2 linked regions of the Kluyveromyces lactis genome follow. The protein of the gene in region 1 binds, or shares a complex with, the protein of each later gene. Links are inferred from orthologs where the notes say so. Each region holds a gene or a part of one and is shown in the gene's direction. Other genes may lie near its edges.

What was found. The genes of interacting proteins can lie anywhere in the genome.
Region 2: the proteins of GRC3 (region 1) and LAS1 are in contact, whole or in part, in a crystal structure (PDB 7Y18), measured with the Saccharomyces cerevisiae proteins. The link is inferred for Kluyveromyces lactis from reciprocal best matches to the Saccharomyces cerevisiae genes GRC3 and LAS1. Residues at the interface, in NP_013065.1 of Saccharomyces cerevisiae: Glu72, Gly73, Asp74, Glu75, Asp76, Glu77, Thr173, Glu177, His180, Leu181, Arg183, Asn186, Glu200, Arg201, Tyr456, Asp457, Phe458, Ala459, Pro460, Leu461, Leu462, Lys463, Ser464, Ala465, Pro466, Leu467, Gln468, Ile469, Ser470, Gly477; in NP_012989.3 of Saccharomyces cerevisiae: Ile2, Pro3, Pro4, Arg5, Ile6, Val7, Pro8, Trp9, Arg10, Asp11, Arg36, Gln39, Arg40, Gln42, Ser43, Tyr44, Arg45, Leu46, Lys47, Gln50, Tyr51, Leu52, Pro53, His54, Val55, Arg94, Asn97, Gly98, Leu99, Asp101.

The regions. Positions count from the first base shown.
Region 1 is NC_006041.1:81,005-84,890, forward strand, and holds GRC3 (polynucleotide 5'-hydroxyl-kinase), read left to right. Parts: upstream 1-1,490; coding exon 1,491-3,386; downstream 3,387-3,886. Other genes in the region: alkaline-responsive transcriptional regulator RIM101, read left to right, coding at 1-1,065; putative AAA family ATPase RIX7, read right to left, coding at 3,422-3,886. UniProt on the Saccharomyces cerevisiae protein: Polynucleotide 5'-kinase involved in rRNA processing. Required for the efficient termination by RNA polymerase I and the processing of the IST2 pre-rRNA internal transcribed spacer localized between the 5.8S and 25S rRNAs.
Region 2 is NC_006037.1:554,780-558,104, reverse strand, and holds LAS1 (rRNA-processing protein LAS1), read left to right. Parts: upstream 1-1,454; coding exon 1,455-2,825; downstream 2,826-3,325. Other genes in the region: OAF3 (Oaf3p), read right to left, coding at 1-737. UniProt on the Saccharomyces cerevisiae protein: Regulates cell surface growth, bud formation and morphogenesis. May act indirectly by regulating factor(s) involved in these processes.

The DNA.
Region 1 (3,886 bases):
ATCACGTCTCATTTGAGAGTTCATGTGCAATTAAAACCTTTCGCTTGCTCCACTTGTAATAAAAAATTCAAAAGACCTCAAGATTTAAAGAAACATTTGAAGGTACATAACGAAGAACTTTCACTACTGAAAAAAAAACGTGGTCCGAAGCCATCCAATAAGCTGGGAAAGATTTCAAATGACAGATCCCGTGCTCATCAGAGATTCACTTTACCATCTATTTCTTTGGATAAATTTATTCACGAGGAGGTGAAGACTCAACAACCCGTGTACTCTCAACAATTGGCAGAAAAGATGGCCATCGTCCTGCTGTTACCTGTTAATAACAACAACGCAACTTCCCCTCCTTCTGCGTCTTCTGCTTCGTCCACTGCAGTTTCCCCGAACTTGGTATCGCACCATATGGTTCTTCCTTACCAAACCCAGCAACGTCCTCTCGTGGGTCACGGTGCTGAATTGAGATCCGCTGTTGGATTCTTCAATAATTTATCCATGGATATGTCTAGAAACTATGCTAACAATAACCTACCGACCGCTAACTTGGGTCCTAACCCGGTACCTGCACCACAATCATACCCACTAATCCCTAAGTTGCCCAGTATTTCAGCCAGGCCAAATGTTGGAGCTCCACCTCCGGTATTGTCCGTATTCAACAGGTTTGATACACATCAAACATCTCCTTCTTCATCATCATCAGCATTCTATCCTCAACACTACTCGAATAATTACAGCCTACACCAAAGAACTGCGCTGTTGGATGCTGAGGCTAACGAAGATATCCCCGAAAAGGACAACGTATCTTTGGAGGAGTCATTCACTTCGTTAAATCTATCCTCAGAAGAGCAAGACTTGGAATTATTCTACGAAACCTATTCAACTGTCAAGTTAGTTAAAGATTATTTGTTATGCGAACTTATGGAGGAGTTAGATGAATTCAAAGAGGAAGAGGAAGAGCAAGGCTTTACGTCATTTGATGAATTTAGTGACTCCAAAGAATGTGTCATTGAAGGAAGAATTCCGTCGAACAAGATATCTCTATCAAAATATCCTCAGGTTGTGATATAGCCTCGTTATAGTAGAATATTACTCCGAATTTTTTCTGCAATGTTATGACACATATACTTGATGACATGGTTTTGGGGCGGCAATCTCTTTTTTTTGTTTATAATTTTTTTTTGTGGATACAATTATAAGGTTAAAGCTGACAGTTTATATGTAATGTTTTTTATTATTTTCTAAGGAGTATGTACAACTATAATTCATGCATAGTTCCCGGTAGGTTTGATTTTGAGTTTTCTCTCAAGATGACGACAGCTTTTGGTTTCCCTTGCTATTAGATGCACTGATTATGAGCTCAGTAAAATGTCAACAAAAATTTCAGAACAAAACAGAAAAAAGTCTCAGTATGAGATGAGATGAGAAGAGGTAAGGTGCAATAAACTCAGCATTCGAATGCCACTTGCTCGGTTTCCAACAGAACCATATTTGAGATGTCTGAAGATATTCTAACATACACCGCGAACACCGATTCAGACGATTCAGATGTGGAACAAAGAGAAATCGAAAAGAAATACAAGACTTCTAGCGAAACGCCAGTAGTGCAACTCTACGATGGAGATGACTATGACAATGATGATATCAGGGAAACGAATGGGAATGACTTTCCTAACGAAGAAGATGAATCAAACCAGCTGTATTCGCCCGTTGTTGACATGAACTTCTTCACTCTATCCGATGAGTGTACTGAAGTTATAATATGCTTAGAAAAGAATCAACACCTTCTAATATGCGGTCAGTTCAATCTACAAATTATAAAAGGCGGGATTACATATAACAACGTTCATTATAACAGTGGTTATAAAAACTGGGAATTCTGGCATCCCGCTTGTAATGCAATTTCGCCAATAGTGTCTTCTTTTTATGCCGGTTGGGAATCTAAATTGTTTCTTAACCGAGAATATCAACATTTCACAACACAGATCGAAAGCTACGACTGCGTCCTAAAAATCAGCAATGGCTGCAATATAACAGAATTATCTAGTTTATTACCTGAGCTTAGAGATATGTGGGGTCCTTTGAATATTTCATTGCTACCGGGAATTGCCAGAAAGCAACTAACGTTCAACATTATCAGTAAAATTTCCGATTCTGTAAGAATATTGGATATATCAACCGAATGGTCAACAGTCATCGATGAAATGCGTATATTCCACGCTAACTCGTCACAAGATATGAGGGTCATGGTAATAGGAGGTAAGAACTCAGGAAAATCCACTTTGATGCGGCTTCTTGTCCAAAAATTTTTGCATAGTAACAACGATCTATCATATGAAGCCATACACTACCTTGATATTGATCCTGGTCAGCCAGAGTACTCGCCACCTGAAAGCATATCATGGAATAAAGTAGACCCGAAATCTATGTCCTTAGGCCAACATCTTTGCCAAGGAAGATTCACAACCATAAAACAGCATTTCATAGGATCCTCATCACCTCAGGATTGGCCAGAAACATACTCTAACGCTGTAGAATCACTTTTGAAAGAGTGGCAGACAGAGAATTTCATGGGGACATCATTTTTAAATATTCCTGGGTGGATTAAAGGATTTGGTGTTAAAATTATCAACCATGCACTTGACCATTTCAAGCCAACTCACATCATATTTCTATCTTATAATGGGCTGCCCTTTTCGTCCGAAATTAAAGTCCCTGACGCTTTCAGTACAACTCAGCGGTCAACTTACAAACCTATAATACTACAATTGCATTCTCCTGCTGTGGGTAAACACATATCCCATGCTTTACAAAGATTTAACGCAGCTAAAATCAGGCAGTTCAAGATTACAGCATATTTACATAAAAAATATGACCGAAATTTTGTAATCAATCCATTGGTCATGCAGAAACCTCAACTAACTTCTATTGGCAACCGCGGTATAGTTGGTTTTGAGTTTCTCCAATATTCCAATAGCTCTTTGTATCACGATGATATCAAACTATCTTTAGATGGGACGGTCGTTGCTCTTCATAGGGCAGATAGTACCCCAGACGTGCTATTCAAGGGCATATTCCCAGTGATGAAGAATTACTCAAAAATTAACACTGAATTTGTGGGACTTGCTTTGATTCATTCTATTGATCTTGAACAGTCCCTCATCTACATGTATATTCCTGAGAACCTCTTTCGGGCCTTAAGAGAAACGGAAAACAAATGGGTCTTAGTACGTGGAAAGACGGAAACACCCATCTGCGAGTTATACCCAAATAATGGCATATTCAAAAGTGAAGTTGATATTCCATACGTTTCTCTTTACCAAAAGAAGAGACATGAACACGTATGGAAAGTAAGAAAAAATGTGATGAGAAGAGGACATCACATGAAATGACATCATATTTATTACATATTTGTAGAATTTAAAGCTCATTCAGACCCATCTGAAGAATCGTTCCATCCCATCCTTTTGTTTAGTCTGTCATATCTAGTTCTATCCTTATCACTGACGGAGGGTTTTACTTTCTTTAAAGCGTTTTCGAAATCTTTCATATAGACAATTACATCTTCAGTTGGAGAGTTTGTTGTGAGATCTTCGAATTCTTTGTCTAGGTTGTTCTCCCCTACTGACATGATTTCATCAGTTTTGAAAAAGTTTCGTTTGAGAGCCAGGACGGATGATTCTCGGACCAGTGCGGCGATATCTGCACCCGAAAAGTTCTTGCAACGTTCATCATTAACAATCCTGTTTATATCTACGTCGTCTGCAATTGGAGTTCCGTTTGATCTAATCAAAGTTCTCATAATATCGACCTTTTCTTCGAAATTTGGTAATTCTATGAAAAGGGTTTTATCGAGTCTCCCTGGTCTTAGCATCGCTGGGTCTATCATATC
Region 2 (3,325 bases), on another chromosome or scaffold:
TTGATGATGAGGTACGTTAGCATTAAAAGAGTAGACTCGTGTACCTTGTCGTTCAATTTGCCCGGATGGTCTTTTTGGCGTTGAAAAAACTTTTCTAGTAGATCCTTCAACTCAATAAGATTGAATACAGGCACCAACGGATGAATCTTGTCAACGAAGTATGGATAATATTTGGACCAAAATTCGTATTCATACGGTACATATGTCTCCGGTATTGGGGCAGACCGCAATGCTGAGAACTCCCTAGCTATCTGATGGTATAGTTGATCTTCAGACTTTTCTGACCGGTTGTACATGGTTACGGTCTTTAACGAATTAGGAAGCTGCAAGACGGTGTCTCTTTCACTACGATCGATACCTTTACTGGCACTTTTCCGTAAAATATCAATGACAGCGTTTGTTATTCTTAAATATGGATCTCTGTCACATATAGCGATGTCTGAGAACAACCCATTGAACCACGAAGCTGATCTTTTGCTTAACAGATGTAGCCCTTTAGGAGCCATATTGATGAACTCCGGTAATCCAAGATCATCCATATATTCGTATCTTACTTTTTTAGAAGCATTCTCATCCGTATCCTCGGAGTAAACACACGTTTCTCCCAGCTTTAAACAGTTACTGCACGAGGGCTTTCCTCTATCACATTTCGTCTTACGACGCCTGCAATTCAAACATACAAGTGTAGGTCTATGTCTCTTCTTAACTGGTACCGGAGATAGCATTTCGTAAACCATAAGACGATTTGTGTGCAATTCACTCCCTGACTTTCGTTTTACTGCACTTGTAGTGTTTAGCGTCTGAAGGCGTGTCGGTTGATTCTGTATTACAAACGTTCAGACCGTTCCTGAAACAAAAAGTATTACCAGACCGGCGTGTATTCGATTTAATCGGCGTGTGAAAAGCAGTTTAGCAGTCTTCGCTACAATTGATATCCAATTCGAAGTTTACTTGTCCTTTCGGAGGCCATACACGAAATTGTTTCTTCATGAAAGAAGACCATTTGTGATTCCGGCAGTTTTATTTCGAGATTATACTTAATTAAGAATTTGACACCTAAAACGGATTGTCATTTAAGAAGTACTACATAATGATATTTACTGAAAATTATTCTTGCATGTTAAAGTACGTTAAGTGTACTACGTTATTCGAATCTCCCGACGCTTACATACTACCAATATCCATCTAATATACGATGACATTGATAATATTTCATTTGCTTCCTCTGTATTGAAAGTGGGCTTTGGATATCATTTCGTCATATTCGAAATTTTTCAATTTCGATGAAAAAACAAGATCCATGCATACTCGGAAACAGAGCGATGAGATGAGGTGAGATGATATGACTTAATATCACATCTAATCTGGTATATATATCTACAATTGTTGTTTCTAGCAGTTTTTCGTGATTTCTGTTTCTTTCATTTGGTACACAACCCTACGAGGAACTCCCGATGAGAATAACGCCTTGGAGATCGAGATCTGAGCTTGAACAGTTGAAGCAATGGTTGTTTGTAGATGATACTCCAGCATCGAAGAGAAGGGCCATACAACGAATTGACGCATACCTTACCAGGGGTCCATATCTCCCACATATAATAGAATATACGGTCCGTTTGATGCAATGCCAGTTGAACGACCCTGGCGAGGCGCAAGACGGCGATGATATGGAATATTTGAAATGGCAGTACTGCATGGTCTTGATTAGGTTTGTGAACGGTATGTTAGACCCAGTGCAACAGGCACAGTTTGCTATCCCATTACACACACTTGCTGAAAATATAGGGTTGCCCAGTTGGTTCGTTGAGTTACGTCATTTGAGTACACATGAAAGAGAACTGCCTAGTCTTGAGATGCTACGATTGTGTTGCAAGGAAGCGATACAATGGACGTGGGATAATTATTGGAATAATGATGAATGGGAAGAGGAAGATCAGGACTTTGATGAGGCTGAAGATGAGGATGCGACTGATGATAATGACGACTCAGAAGCCAAGAAAAGGAAATCACAGTCATCTGTTCAACTGAAATCCTTATTCACTCAGTATACTGGTCTCAAGAGATTATTGAAAGAGAATGAGTACCTATGGAAACGTCAAAGAATTGCTAGATCAACTTTTGGTGAGCAGGACTCAACCGAGGACGAAGAAGTTAGTGATTGGTTGACAGTTTTGAAAACTGCCTGGAAACAAATACACAAATCAGATTTCGTAGAGTATATGATCTTGCACTGCGACGAAACCTTGTTAGAGATATGTTTTCATTCCTTAGACACATTCCAAGTCAGGTGTATAGAGTGGCTAATAGAAAACTACGAGAAGAGGATCATGAATGAAGAGACGAAGATTACGGATCGGTTCTCAAATCATAAGAAGCTCTTGAAATTCGTAAATAAGTGTTGTTCCATGGTTAACGGCAGAAAGTTTTTGAGTAATGGATTGTTTAGTAATGTGGTAGATAAGTACCACAACTATCTCGTGTTACACATCTTAAAGAATTTGAGTAATGAAAGTGGATCTAGTGGTAATTACAGCGGTAGTAAGTCAAGAAAGAAGAAGAAAGCGAATGAGATAGACGCGAAAAAAGTTATTGAAGAATTTGAGGCAAAGGGGATCAGGAACGTTGAATTAGAGCTCTACAATTCAAGGAAAAGGACGTCTTCTGAAGAAATAGAGCCTGTTTCGGAAGATTCCCCGGCCTTGGATATATTGAAAGACTTGAATGAATTGAAAAATCAGTTCAAAAAGATCAAACAAAGCAATGCCCCCATCTCCAACTGGCAAGAAGTCACCGAGTGGACGCCTAGACCATTTGGCGTTTTGTAATTAGTATAATTAAGCCTTTTAGATACATAAGACAAAGCAAGAAAGATTGACAGTTCTACAGGTTCTGCGATGATAACAGGATTGAAAATGGAAATGGATAATAACATATAAAAAGATCAGACATCCTAGGAAGGTCTCAATAAAGAGCGGTCACTGAAGAGTACTAACGATGGGTTCGTAGGCGTACTCCTACCGTGGAAACTGCGAATGTAAAGGAACCAATTTTCATCATATAAAAAAATGTTAAAATCCATAACGCACAATCATGTTCTTAGCTAAAAAGAAGAAGTGAAACGTTTTGAAGAAATAAATGCAACAGAAGATACGACGATGGATCTTGTTTCACTGTTACTTTGACCTTAAGAAAACTAAAAAGAGAAAACTCAGATGATCTAAATTGTACATGTCAAAGCATGTACTGGCTTAAAAAGTCGTTGCCCCGTAAGACAACAACATGGTAGACTCCCATATCGTCATGGTCGATATCGGACTGGGAAAGA